Diceros bicornis minor: one gene and its partner. The protein of the gene in region 1 purifies or fractionates together with the protein of each later gene. This does not show direct contact. Links are inferred from orthologs where the notes say so. Each region holds a gene or a part of one and is shown on either strand. Other genes may lie near its edges.

The links.
Region 2: the proteins of RSU1 (region 1) and PARVA purify together in Homo sapiens (affinity purification with mass spectrometry; 3 studies listed by BioGRID and IntAct, counting the BioPlex papers as one, with this or other methods). This does not show direct contact. The link is inferred for Diceros bicornis minor from reciprocal best matches to the Homo sapiens genes RSU1 and PARVA.

What each region holds. Positions count from the first base shown.
Region 1 is NC_080775.1:17,074,527-17,081,769, reverse strand, and holds the start of RSU1 (ras suppressor protein 1), read left to right. Parts: upstream 1-4,243; 5' UTR 4,244-4,364; intron 4,365-4,606; 5' UTR 4,607-4,609; coding exon 4,610-4,718; intron 4,719-7,243. UniProt on the Homo sapiens protein: Potentially plays a role in the Ras signal transduction pathway. Capable of suppressing v-Ras transformation in vitro.
Region 2 is NC_080746.1:70,670,557-70,678,031, reverse strand, and holds the start of PARVA (alpha-parvin), read right to left. Parts: upstream 3,018-7,475; 5' UTR 2,966-3,017; coding exon 2,830-2,965; intron 1-2,829. UniProt on the Homo sapiens protein: Plays a role in sarcomere organization and in smooth muscle cell contraction. Required for normal development of the embryonic cardiovascular system, and for normal septation of the heart outflow tract.

The sequences.
Region 1 (7,243 bases):
ATGGGAACTTTAGACACCCTATTTGAGAAGGAGCAGGGCAGGGACAAGAGCCAAACCACAACCTCACCTCTTCCCTCCAGCCTTCCCCTGATCCAGCAACCCAAGAGCTAATGCTTGGCCTAGAGGGGGACTGTAGGACCCTGTTTCAGCACCAGCTGGTGGCCATTCTGGATTCAATTCTCCTGGCAATACCCATCTCTATCTCCTCATAGTCTGGGACCCAGAATGGGGGGAACCAGGCTTCCATCCACCATCTGATCTCTCTCCCCTCCCGTTTCCTGTCTCCATAAACAACTGGACCTTAGTAGGAAGACAGTGCTCATGCCTTCTGGTCTTCAGGGTTAATTTGAGCCATTGCTGGTCAGAGTCGCCCTCATCTGGTCTTCAGGGAACTGGCTGGGATAGCTCAGGGTGAGGTGGCCACAGGCTTTTTCTGGACCCAGTGGAATCTCCTGGCACTTCAGGCATTCTTGTGAAGAATGCCCCAGGGAATGGAGGGGGCCAATGACGGTTTGGGGCTAGGAGATGCCCAGGATATGGGTTCTACTTGAAATAATTTCCTATTAAATTTCAACTCCATTTAATGGGAGGAATTTGTTAAAAATCTGCCACACACTCACCAAAGGAATACTAACATCATTAATTTTATTAAGAAAAATGAGAGCTAATATCTATATAACATTTGCTCTACACCAGGCATCATTCTTATGTATTACTCACTGAAATAGAATACTAAGAACCATCAGCCCCATCTTATAGTTGAGAAAAATGAGGTATGAAAAAATTATATAAAACTTGAGTGACAGAGCTGAGATTCTAACCTTGGCAACCACCCCAGAGAGTGCCTCCCACCCGGCCTGAAGGATTAGGTGTGAACTTATTAAATATGACAGTCAAACTATCCTCACAGATCTATTGAAATTATTAAAAAAGACTGACACTGTTATATGACCTAGAAAAAATTTTAATGTAATTGCTGTTAGTTGAGTAAAAACTTAAAGATTATACAGCATTAAAAATAATGTTAGTGAAAGAAAATTTTTTACTTGTTGAGATCACACGTCACCCCATGGCTGTCAATTTAATGGAGAAGTTATTGGAAGAAAAATGATATGATAATTCTTCTATATTTGATGAAGAATTTGCTTTTCAAATTTTAATTTGATAATTTTATTTATATGTCACTTAGTAAGTCGTTTATTATAAATATGGTTTAGGGAATAAAAAAGGCTTTTTTTTTTTTTTTGGTGCAGATCTTTGGAAAGATTTGCTCTGGCCTAACATCTGTTGCCAATCTTCCTCTTTTCTCTCCTTCTTTTTTCCCTCCCCAAAGCCCCAGTGCATGGTTGTATATCATAGTTGTAAGTCCTTCTAGTTCTTCTATGTGAGCCACGGCCACAGCATGGCAGCTGACAGATGAAGTGGTATGGTTCCATGACCAGGAACCCAAACCCAGGCTGCTGAAGTGGTGAGAGTGCCAAACTTTAACCACTAGGCCATCAGGGCTGGCTCAAAAACAGCATTTTTAGAATTAATGATTTACGAAATAATTTACGTGAATTTACCAGTAGTCATAGTCTGGCGTGCCTCAGGTGGACCAGGCATCTTCCATACCCTATCTTTGATTGGCTCACTCTGTGGGCGGAGGGGAGGCAGTGGTAGTACATTCCTTCTAATTTTGAAGTATTGAAGCACAGATTCTATCTCAGCATAGAGCATTTGGCAGTGATGCCGTGGCAGGGTTTTATGCTCTGATAAATATTGACTTCTTGCAGGATTGGCTACATAATTTGCAGGGGCCAGTGCAAAAGGAAAATGCAGGGCCTCTTGTTAAAATAATTATTAAATGTTTCAAGCTGGTGACAGCAGGGCATTAAACCAAGCATGGGGCCCATCTAAGCCCGGAGCTTTGTATAACTGCCTAGGTCACATACTGAGGAAGCTGGGCCTATTTCCATGTTATAAAAATCGGGAATTTAGGGACACATTTCCTTCAGAATAGCACGGGTATAAGTGAAGAGTCTGAGAGGAAAATTATCAGGGAGTGAAAGCAAATTTCTGGAAAACAGGAAGTGAATGGAAGCATGCTGACAAACGAAACAGAAAGAAACTGCAGCCCAAAATAATTTCCAGAGAGAAACGCAGCAGAATTGGGACTCTACTTTCCAGGTGTTATCTGACGGGGCTGGCAGGTGCAGGGTGAAAGGGTGAGCTAGGAAGTAACAGAATTGTATAAGTGGCTCAGAATTCACAATTTCCCTCCACCAGCAAAGGCAGCCTTGTGATTACAGGCAGCTGTAAAACTGGGCTCTCAGCTCTCAAGAAATTTAACCAACAGCTCAGGGAAAATTAATGCTGACCCAGGAGGGAAACAAATACAGATCAACAACAGATGAGGAAAGAAACCACACCAGCTATCTAGAAAAGTCAGCTTAGACTTCATGCTTGAATATGAAAGGACAACCCAGAATCAGCAGACAGAGGAAGAATTACAGCAGCATGAATGGGAAAAAAATCTAGGTACACACATATAAAAAGGGACACTTGAGGAAACATAATTTAGTAAACAGAGAGAGGTCTACAAATTGTTATCCTCAGAGATATTTGAGAAGAGAGTGCATTCATGAGACAAAAGCAGGCTGCTATTGAACAAGAAAGAGGACTTAGTATTTTTTGTTAATAGCCAAAATAATTTTCAAAAATTTAATAAAAGATTTGGAAGATAAAGTTGAGATAATATTCCAGGACATTAAGCTAAAAAGACTTTTAAAAATGAAAAAATATGAGAAAAAAGATAACTGTAGCAAATCAGCCCAGGAGGCTGCCATCTGACTAACAAGATTTCCAGAAAGAGTGATAAATCAGAGAAAATGGCAGGAAAGAAATTGCAAAGCAACAGCAGAAACAATTTCCAGGGAGGAAGAGAGAAATGAATCTTCAGCTGAAAAGGACCCCAGGAGTGCTAAACAGATTAAGTGGAAAAAGACCACCAACCAGAGATATTATGGTGAAATTTCAGAACATGATGAATAATAAAAAGAAAAATTACAAATGTTTCCCAAGAGAAAACAACAGTTCCCCGCAAAGACTTTTGAGGAGACCGACACATTTCTAGGCATTAACATTGGAAGCTGAAGTCAGTGGAACTGTGCCTTCAGGATTTTAGAAACTCATCTTGAACCTAGAATTCTGTGCTAGACAAATGAATAAAGGTATTGGCAAAATAAGGACATTTAAAAACATGTAACTACTCAAAATTTGTGCCTCCTACGCACCCTGTTAGACAAAGCTACTTGAGAGGTACTCTAGCAAGATGTAGACAGGAAATGCCAGTTTCAACCCAGAAACCAAGTGAAAAGAAATCACAGATAGCCACTCAGCTGCAAGGACAGAAAGAATCAGTTACAGCAGTAAGTTAGTGGGTTCCTCAAGTCCTCAGGAAGAATTGATTGGATTTCAAGCAATGGAGAGGAATGAAAAGCGGCAAGATCTTAGGCATAGGGTAAAGAAGGTTACAAAAAGAAAAAGAAAAGCAGTTAGACACTCTAGTGAAAAAACAATGAAAATCGTATAAGGACATTATCATTCAACAGAAAGCAAACTAAAATATGGTATAATTTTGAGTGCAGTGTAGGAAAAGAGGTCATTTATTTATCCGACCATGCTCCCCTTCCTGTGACACAGAGGTCCATGATTGCGAGCTGGGCGCAGGGGACACACAGACCACCACCGAGTTTTCGTCGTAGAGGAGCTCATAAGGCAGCGGGAGGCACAACTGTGGAGAAAGGATTCAGGGTAGCAACTTCTGGTAAGTGGAGCCACACTCACAGAAGCAGGACACCGACAGAAATGGACTCCAAACTTCCCCAGGACCTAACCTCAGCTACAAACGTCCCTCCGCAGTCGCTCCCCCAACTTCCCCGCTTCCGCCCACAGCACTGTGCGCTTCGACCTAGGAACTGAGCATGCGTCAACCTAGTGCGCACGTGCTCACTCCGGTCCAATCGGAATCCCGAGCCCCGGGGATTCCAGGGGGCTGGACTAACCTCGGGGTGGGGCGGAGTCTCAAGGCCGAGTAACGGACGTGATTGGTCGGCCGCAGGGTACACATTCTTTTTAATGGGCGGAGCCTCGCCCCTGAGCCACGTCTAGTAAACTGTTCTCCTAATTTGGGAAGGGTCGGGGGCGGGCGGGGCGTGGAGCGGAGAGCGGCGCGGTGTGCGCCTGCGCCGAGCGCCGGGCCAGGGCGTGTTCCTCGCTGGGGTGCGCGTTTTGCTCAGTTACTGTGCATCTCCTGCCGCTGAAGTGCGCCCTGCGGAAGCCGGCCGCTCCCGCGCCCAACCTGTTAGGTGCTGCCCTCCGCGGTGAGTGTGCGTGCCATTGCACTCGGGGTTGCTTCTCTCCGCGCGGCCGGAGTGGTGCTGGACCCTCCCCACTCCCCTGCCCCGCCCTGTCCCATCCCCCTCCCTGCGCTCGGACTCTGCCCGCTGATGCCCACTTTCCAGGGCCAGGGCAACAACAGAAAGTGCCAGCCAGGCTCTCTCCTTTCTATCCCTGCACCCTCCTGGCCGTCGCTCACGTGCTTTGTTGTTGTCATTTGGTACAGATCATGTCCAAGTCTCTGAAAAAGTTGGTGGAGGAGAGCCGGGAGAAGAACCAGCCGGAAGTGGACATGAGCGACCGGGGCATCTCCAACATGCTGGACGTCAACGGCTTGTGTAAGTTCTCGGGCAGGACCTTCCCCTGGGAGGAGCTGGAAGGGTTTGTAAGTTTTCCGAGTAACTGCCAAGTCGTGGTATGAGAGGTTGTAATGGGTTACATCCCACCCCTGCTTGTAAACACCCCTTGTCAAGAGCTCAGCTCAGAAAGTTTGCAGTCAGAATCTGTTCTGTTCCCACTGGAAAATGAACATGAGAGCTGGGATAAGAACCACACAGACTGTTCCTGCTGAACCTCCTCAGATGTCTGTGCTGATTTATGGCATTTGGGTGGCTTTTCCCCACAGTTTACTTAATACCCACTTTATGTTTTAATTAAATCATTTTTGAATCATTCTTCTTTTCGCCTAATATAGTCTTTGGCCCTTGAACAAACGCCACACAAAAGTTACATGATAGGTATTCTTGTGCCTGGAGTCTGTTAAACGTTTCTTGACTCGTTACCTTTTTCTGGATCTTTATTCTCCTAACTTAGTTCAGGCTTTTGTAATCTCCTGTTTTGTTATCTCCTGCTTGTGCTATTGTGATGTCTTCCTAACTTTCTCTCTCACCTCCAGTTTTACTGCCCCTGTAGTTTAGTCGCTGTATTGCTTTCAGTGTTATTTTCCTGTAACACATATTATTGTGTTACTCTCCTTTAAACCAGGGATTGCAAACTCAAATGCCTGCGGGGGCCAGGTGAGGATGGTCACGAACTCCATAATAGTATCCCATCTGAAGGGGTAGCTGCTACACCTGCTACTCAGATCCAAACACTTGTCACCACCTGGGGACGTTGGCCCAGTGTTGTCAGATTTTTTTTTTAAGAAGCCAAGAATCCACATCAAATTTCCTGATTTTTAGAAGTTGGCAACTAATTCCAATATTTGAAAAATACTTTAGACGTGAAACAAAACACTTCTTCAGGCTGAATGTGGCTTCTGTTTGGACCTTCTCCCTTAAACACTCCTCCTGGTTTTCAGTACCAACAGTCATGCCCCAGGTTCCTTGACGTGACATGCAAGGCCTGTCTGAATCTGACTACACTCTACCTTAGCTCCTGTCCCTTCCATGCATTTGGCGTCCCAGCCATACTGAACCCATTGCCTTTCCTGAACCAGGGTGCACTCTTTGGGGTCTTCGTGCCTTTACAAGTATTGTTGCTTTGCATTCCGCCTTTCTTCACCTGAAATGCTTTTACTTTATCTGTGAAGGGTCAGCTCAGATGTCACAGCCTACGTGAAGCCTTCTCTGTCTGTAGCAAGCAGACACAGTCACTCCTTCCTCTGTGAAGTTGGATGTGCTTTGCTTCATGACTCTTGTTACAGAGGATTGTAATGCATTCCTAATCTAAACGTCTCTTTCCCTTTGGGAGACTGGGGGGACTAAAGCTGTGCAATATTCACGTTTGCTGCCTTTACCATAGTGCCTGGAACACAGTAGGAGCTCAGAAATGTGTGATGAATGAAGGAAAGAAGGATGGATTAGGCCTGCAAGTTTATGAGATCCAGACTGGGATGTGACACTGGAGGAGAAGAGGAGGTGTCCAGGAGACCCTGAAAGATGATGGATTGCTTGTGAGGCATGGAGAGCACGGAGTCAAATTTACTGTGAATCCCTGGTTTGTGCCTGGGACAGAGATTGGGGTTGGTGCTGTCGATACATCTCAGCAGAAGGAAAAGGGCTGAAAAGCTTAGACGATTTGTGTTTGGTAACCCTTAGGAAGACACCTGCCGTTAAACTTAGCTTTTGTACTAATTAGCATCTCAGCCCCTTGGGATGTGTTGTCCTGTCTCCGTGGTGGTTGCTTCTCGGTGGCAGCAACAGAGCGGATGTCTGGTTCTGAATTGGCAGTTACGAATCTGGATGTGTCCCTGCGCTGGCCTGGCTGGCTCTGCTGTGGTCGTGATGGTCATCAAGAGCATTCTGCAGTAGAGGAAGAGGATGGCGAGCGGCAGGCAGGAGGCCTGGCTCAGCTGTGTTCTTGGCCTCATGGCTTTCTGCTCTCAACTCTGTTTTTCTCATGGGGTTGAAGAAAGAGGTTGCTTTCAGCAGAGGAACTTTATTCTCCTCAGCTTTGAAGAGGACTCTTTATGTAATATTTAGAAGTAGTGGGAGTGTGGTGTAGCTATTTCGGTTCACTTGCGTTATCTCTTTGAAGCCTTGGCTTTTATTGAAGAAGCAAAGATAGCCACTTGCTTCCTGAAAAAGATGTTTCCGGTGTAATATTATTTGCTGAAAAGCAAGATCCTTCTTAAGTTTTCTGAAAGAAGCGGCTTAAGGAAGAACCACAGTGCTTCTGGGGAGTTCGTGGAAGTGAATTTGGAGATTCTGCCTCCTCTGTAGTGTGTGTAGACCCAAGGAGTGGCTACTTTCTCCCATAACTCCCTGACTTCTGGACTCTTGGAGCCTGGAGGGTTCCAGGGTGCCTTCAGAAGCCCATTCCTCAATTGGGGCTCATTTATCAGTACTGTACATAATGCTTACTTTTTTTTTTTTTTTGCTGAGGAAGATTCACCCTGAGCCAACATATGTGTTAGTCTTCC
Region 2 (7,475 bases), on another chromosome or scaffold:
TTGACAGGTAAAGCATTGAACCCTGAGATCTAGCACACGCGCACCAACAGCGGGTTATCTCAGACCAACCCCAACGCCTTCTTTGACTGGGCTCGCAGAACCACCACGTGCAACAGCGAGCAGCTGGAGCTGGGTGACGGTGGGCCCCATTTACATTCCCTGGATTAGCTAATAGACTGAATGACAGAATCAGGACTTAACAGTTAAGTATAATACAGATGATAATAAGATCTTGTACTTGGTTTCAAAAACCCAATTGAGTAAACCTCAGATAGGGAAGGAAATGGTTTAGGAACAACAAACATAAAAATGTCTTTGAGTAAGCAGATAGCAAGTGCAATGAGAGATAACAGCGTGAAGTAGCTGGCAGAAGAATGAAGAAAAGCAGGCTTAGGGGCCGGCCCGGTGGCGCAAGCGGTTGGGTGCGCGCGCTCCGCTGCGGCGGCCCGGGGTTCGCTGGTTCGGATCCCGGGCGCGCACCGACGCACTGCTTGGTAAGCCATGCTGTGGCGGCGTCCCATATAAAGTGGAGGAAGATGGGCACAGATGTTAGCCCAGGGCCGTCTTCCTCAGCAAAAAAAAAGAGGAGGTTTGGCGGATGTTAGCTCAGGGCTGATCTCCTCACAAAAAAAAAAAAAAAAAAAAAAAAAAAAAGAAAAGCAGGCTTAGCTGCATGAAGAGAACATGGTGTCTGTGCTAGAGCAAAGGAGGTGACAGCTCTGTTCTCACCTGGGCTGGCTGGACTGGACTAGTAAGCATTATGTTGACCTCTGGGCAGCTCACTTTGAGAGGGTCTGCTAGTTATTCTCCAGCCCCCCTCCCCCACTATGATCTATTCTCTGCACTGCTCTGTGCCCTAAGCGAGCTGACCCCCACATATTGCATCACCCATATTCCCTAGTCCTTGTGACTTCCCGCTGGGTCCAGCCAATGGGAAACACCAACAAGAGATTCCAGGGCAAGAAGAGAGAGAACACGCAGAGTATCTCTTGTGCCCTGTCTCCCTGCTCCACCTCCACATCTCCCACAGTGGCTGTGTCCCTCTGCAGCTACAGTTCCTGCCAGGCAGCCCACCCTCCACAGCTCCAGCTCTCAATGGGTTCTGGTTTGCTCCCCTTGTCCCCTCAGGCCTAGGGGTGGTAAGAGCTTCCCACTGTCTGCTGCTGGCCCCTAGGTTCCTCATCACCCCTCTGGGTTCCCTTAACCCTGCCCACACCTCTCTACATAGTCCCTTCACTACTCTATTTTCAAAATCCCAACTAAGTTGACCTTCTGTTTCCTGCAGGGGTCCTGACCAAAACTGAAGAGTTAGGAGGCCAGCGGGCCATAAAATCATGTCTATGAGGACCAGCTATAGGAACAGAGGATGTTTGGACTGGTGAAGGGAAAACTAGGACACAGGCTATCCACTGGAAAAGAGTGAAGGCCACCCTCAGACTCATCCTCCCAGCTCCATGAATAGAATAACAGTAGATACAGAGAGATCAACTTTTTACTTTTACAATAAAGCAAACTTTTCTAAAGAGTTGCAAAGGTGGGGTGAGCTCTCCTGGGAGGTCATGAGCTTCAGAAATTCTGAGTTGCCCAGTCTGAAGCTAGAGAGCCCATATCAGGAATACTGTAGGAAAAAGTTAGAAGGGTAGTCTAGAAAAGGACTTTCCAAGCCAGGGTTTCATGATTTGCTACCAACTGTACACTACTCAGACAACGGTTTACCAAAATAACCACACTGGGGGGAAACATTTTTGGGGATCTGTTTTGCTGCTTTTCACATCAATATAGACAACAGAAGTCTAGTTCTTTGTGTCAAGTTCGATAATTCTCAACACTGAAGTTCTTTTTTATGCTTTAGGATAACTCAGAACATAAAACTTATTTTCCATCCCAGCATCATCGCCTTCAGAAGAGTTATTCCCAAACCACTGAGCAATCTATGAAAAAAATTTAACCAAACAACTTCTACCTACACATCCATCACTAGTGCTTCTTCAGAACTGTGACCTCATTTTTCAAACCAAAAACCAGGATGTGAAATCTGCCCATGGAACAAAATACTTTACATGCAAACTGTCCTGGAAAAAAATAAGATCGCCTCAATTCACCCTGGTGGGAAAAAGGAAATGGTTTTTGCAGGAGCCATCAACTCCTGAGTTCACAGAAGGGTCGCAGCGCAGGATGCTAAGTGTGTGTGTCTAATCCGGGTTTTCTCCTCTGGTGCAACTTGATCATTTATTACATGGCCGGATCATTTATTACATTATCCCTCATTCATTCAACAAACATTTGATGTTGATCTACTCATTAATAGAACCCTGCTGGGCCCTGGGAATGGACAAAAGATCCAAAGAGGCCAACGCTGCATCTGGACCTAAGCAGGTCTAGGAAACGACCTGATGGCAAAGACCAATGAAAGCGAAGAGTCAGAGTGACGGCGCCCAGAAAAGTTTCTGCAGAAACTTGGGAAATGCCAGCCTTCGGGGCGGAGAGGGCGGGGACTTGGGGCCTACGGGAGGACGCCGCCTCGGGCTCCTCGGCCCTCGGACCACGCAGAGCCGCCAGGCCCTGCGCGGACGTCGCCTGGTCCCAGTGCCGGGCTGTCCCACCCGAGCGCCCGGGCCCTGCAGCGCAGCGCCGGGCCACCACCGGCAGGGCGGCGGCGGGGCCCGCAGGGCGCGCACAGACTGGCACCAGGTTCCCGGGAAGCGCGCGCCCGCGCCGCCGCGCCCCGCTCCCACCGCCCCGGGCACCCGCGGCGCGCGCCCGCGCGGCCCTGCGAGCCCAGGCCCCCTGCCCCGGCCCCTGCCGCTCGTCAGGCCGGGCCGCACTCACCCTCCTTGGCTTTCTTCCTCCGGGCCAGAGTCCCTCCGAGTTTCCCCAAGAAGGAGTCATCTTTCTTCCGGGATGGGGGCGACTTGGGAGTGGGGGACTTGGGGACAGAGGGCGACTTCTGCGGGGAGGTGGCCATGGCGGGGGAGCGGGCAGCCGCGGGCCGGTCGGGACGCGGAGCTGGCGCTGGGCGGACGCGGCGGGCGCGGCGGGACTGAGGCTGCGGCTTTCCAAACGGAAGCGGAATTATTCCAAGCATTTGAGGCAGCTCACGCTCGCCTTTCCCTTCCCTCTCTCCCTCCCTCGCGCCGCCCTCCGCCCTGGAAGGAGCTGCGCGCTCCGGGCCCTCGCCCCGGCCGGTCCTGCGCCCCGCGCCCCTTGGCTGCCCGCAGCAGGGAGGGTGCCCCAAATCTGCCCCTTGCAGGACGTGCGGCATGATCAGTCTGTGTGCCCCTCCAGCCCGGGAGCCTCCTTTCCCCCGGCTCTGCACCCAGCACAGATCCAGGCACAAATGGGGGTTCAGTGATTGCTGAACCGAACCCACCTGCTCCTCTGTCTCCCAGAGCCTTCGCCCCGCCTGCTTGGTGAGGAGCTCGCGCTTCCCTTGCGTTTATTTCTACCTGGACATCTATTAGGCCCATGTCTTGTGCCCACAAAGGAGAGTGAGCCAGCTCTAGGAAGAAATAGAGTGACCCAAATTTGTTCAGGTCCTGCCAACTGGGCACATCCAACTGTTCCTGCACTTGTCCTCGCTGTCAACCTCCTCTTCACACCCATCCAAGACTGAGAAGTTTGAAGTCCGTGAGCGCAGGGCCGAGGCTTCTTACAAAACACCCCTGTGTCTAGCAACTCAATGGCTTGTACAAAGGAGGATCCCAAATATTGGTGGAAACATGATTTGGAAGGTACGCCGTGGGCTCCTGTGAGACACCCCCATCCCAAACTTATCCCGCCTAAATAAAAGCAACAGAGTGACAACCAGACTCATTTGGAGTAATAGGGAGAGGCACAAACCGCAATGTGTCAAGCACTCTTGCTGGAATTGATTAAAAGACACATTTTATTGTTCTTGCCCTCTTGAAGTTCTCACTTGGGATCTCCTGGCCGTCTCTCTTTCACACACACACTCACACAGCCCCTTGGCAACTGTGTTTCCTCCAAGTAGGTACAGCTGATTGACCCTGAGTGATCACCCGACCCAAAGGATGCTGATCCTTGACTGGAGAGCTGCCCATCAGATAGTGTCCATCAAGAATCCGGACTAAGCTCCAGACACTGTTGTCCAAAGTTGAGCACTTAGTGATGATCATGCAGACTGAAGACTGGGGTGTCAATGTCTAGCCACATGCATGCTGATGAGTAGAGAAACAAAAGAATGGAGCAAAGAGTGTGGTCTGAGTAATGAACAACCATGGGGAGTAGCTGCCTGGGCCTTGACTCCTTCCAGGTGCTCACTTATAGTGTGTGGGGGGGGGGGGTGGCGGGGCGCGCGGCCTTCCTAGGACGTGTTCCTAAAGCCTTTTAACAACCCATCCGCCTTTACTTGAGCTAAGCAGCAAAATGACAAGCAACAATTCCTGAGCACAACAAAAATTTAACAAACGAGAGGGACAATAGAGTCTCAGTACGTGTTCATTTTATCCTTGCTTAAGAGTCATAATTTTACCTCTTTTGAAAATTATACTTTAGCTGATGCCTCTGACCTAATAGAAAGCAGAGAAGTCATGATGACGGCTAGAATTTTCACCCAGGAGCAGGGGAAGATTATGACACGTGACCCCCACCCCCATCCCCAACTATCACCTTGATAAATCTTAAAGAGATGCTGAGAAGCCAAAATAGAATTGTGGGTTGATGACCTCATTAATCATTCTTGTTCAGATATTGGATACATAAGGACATCTCCAAAATCTGATCTTTAGCCCTGGGAACTCTTGCCAGGGACTCATGAGCCGCACAGCTCAGTAGCCATGTGATCTTGGGCGAGTTTACTCCCTTTTCTGAATCTCCATTTCTTCATCTACAAAATGAAGTGGTGGAGCAGAATGGTGGTTCTCAAACCTGATTATTCGTCACAATCCCCTAGGGAGTTTGTTACAAACATTCACAGGCCCCACCTCTAGAAACGCTGATTCGGTACCTCCGAGGTGAAACCAAGGGGGTGGGTATTTTTTTTGTGTGTGTGAGGAAGATCAGCCCTGAGCTAACATCTGCCAATCCTCCTCTTTTTTTTTTTTTTTTTGGCTGAGGAAGGCTGGCCCTGGGCTAACATCCGTGTCCATCTTCCTCCACTTTATATGGGACGTCGCCTCAGCATGGCTTGACAAGCGGTGCGTCGGTGCGCACCTGGGATCCTAACTGGGGAACCCTGGGCCGCTGCAGCAGAGTCCGTGGACTTAACCGCTTGTGCCACCTGGCCGGCCCCAAAGGATGGGTATTTTTTAACAGGGGCTACATCAGGTATAGGATTTCAAAGTAGCTGATCCACGCACTGATGTTTGGGCACCTAGAGCCACTTTCAGCTCTGACAGTCTATGATTCTCTATTCGTCACCAATTGCTGATATCTGTATGCAGGGTGTAGGTCCTAAATATGGCATGGTCAAAATTACACATAGAGATCTCTTAAATTGCTTGTGCACGCTTTTGTATATACAACCCTCTTTGGTAATTTTTATGCATACTAAAGTTGGAAAGCAACTGAGCAAGACTAACAGGAGGAACAAACAAAGGAAAGTCTAGATTGTTGAATGCTGGCTCCCAGAAAATACCAGCAAACCAAGCTGTAGAGAAGGTAAAACTGAGTTTATTGTATACCAGGGTAAGAAAAGCCCTGCCTTGGCAGTCTTAATAGCATTTTGGACTGGGGGAGGGCAAAGTGGGGATATTTATAAGGTTTTGGAATCTAGTTTAAGGCAGGTCTTTCAATGGGGTGATGCTTGATTTATTTTGGCTAAGGCTTGTGATATAGTAGTATAGGATCTGTGAACACAAGACAAGACAAGAGTAAATCGTCTTTTTAATGCTATCTATTGAAAAGTTTAAGGGTTTTATGTTTATTTCAATGAGATTTTGGGGGAAGTCTTTGAATAAAAAGAAGTTATTTGTAACTTTAATCTTTCTGTGCAAGAGTTTTTTGGAATAGAGTTATGTTGATAAAGATAGGGGAATGATAAAGTCCCCCTAATGTAGACAGTAACCTGTATGGGTGTGAGTGGTTTCCAGGGTCTCAATATTATGCAGATGTCTTGTTATTCAAACCTTTCTGCCTCTAAGATAATTATCAATCTCTCTTGAAAGGCCAAGGGGGGATGGATGGTGAATTATAAAGTGTAGCCTGAAAACCAGTATTGATCTGCAAACTGTTATCGGTCCTCAATGATATAAATATAGAAACTGAGAGTGTTTAGAAACTTTTATAACAATTTAACAGTGCACTTTTTATATTTGTTTAATTTGATAATAAAAATTGGAAGCTTATATTTTGAATGTCTTTTTATTTTTCTAATAATTCTTTTTTTATTGTATTTTACAAAATACTGATCTATGATGGATTGGTCGTTCACCATAGATTGCTTAAAAAGCACTGTTCTAAATTGCTCCGGTTTGCTTACAGAGTTTATATACTCTCTTTTGATGTTATGCTTTTATAGTCGTTATGGATGTGAATTGACCTGGTGTTTGTTCAGAAGAGTAAATGAGATAATATATAGGAAAGCACCTTGCACAGGGCCTGGCACTGAAGTAGACTGAATCTAAATCTAGCTTAATCAGCGACACAAACATGCTGTTCTTTGATAAGCTGCAGAGAAGATGGATGCACCAGCTCCCTCCAATCTAAATTGGTATTTACAATTATGGCCCCACTGATGAGCAGCCTTCTCATGCTTGGTGGTTGGTGTTATGCTACCCAAGGGTTAGATGATAAAGACAGCTCATAAGTTAAATGTGTGTAGCTGTGAACCTCTGCTGAATCTCTAGGCCAGTCTGTCCCTGAAATCTAGACCTTGGAGTGAATTACCCAGTTCCAGTTCTGGCTCAGTCCTGGCTAGGTGACCTTCGACAAATCTCTGTCCCTTGTGTACTTTTATTTCTATTATCAGTAAAGCAAAGCCAAGGCAGTAGTATCTACTACAGCTGAACATCACACATACATTATGATCAACAATTTCAATTCTAGGTTACACTCAACAAAAATGACTAAATTTGTGCACCTAGATACATGTTCTAGAAAGTTCATGGTAACATAATTCAAATGCCTATTAACAGTTGAATCAGTAAATAAATTTTGATAATTACACAATGGAATATTATACAGCAATGAGAATGAACAATTTGCAACTACAAGCAGCAATAGGAATGTATCTCAATATAATGTTAAGTGAAAAAAATCAGACAAAAGAGGATATACTCTATCATTCTAATCATATAAAGTACAAAAACAGGCAAAACTAATCTGTGATATTAGAAGTCAGGATAATGATTAGCCATGGGAGAGATAGTGACTAGAAGGGGGCAGGGGCAGTGGCGGGAGGCAAGAGGGAGGCTACAGGAGCTAGTAATGTTCTGTTTCTTGACCTGCGTGACTAGTTACATGGGTGTATTCACTTTGAAAATTCATGGAGAATGAACTTAATAATTCGAGCAATT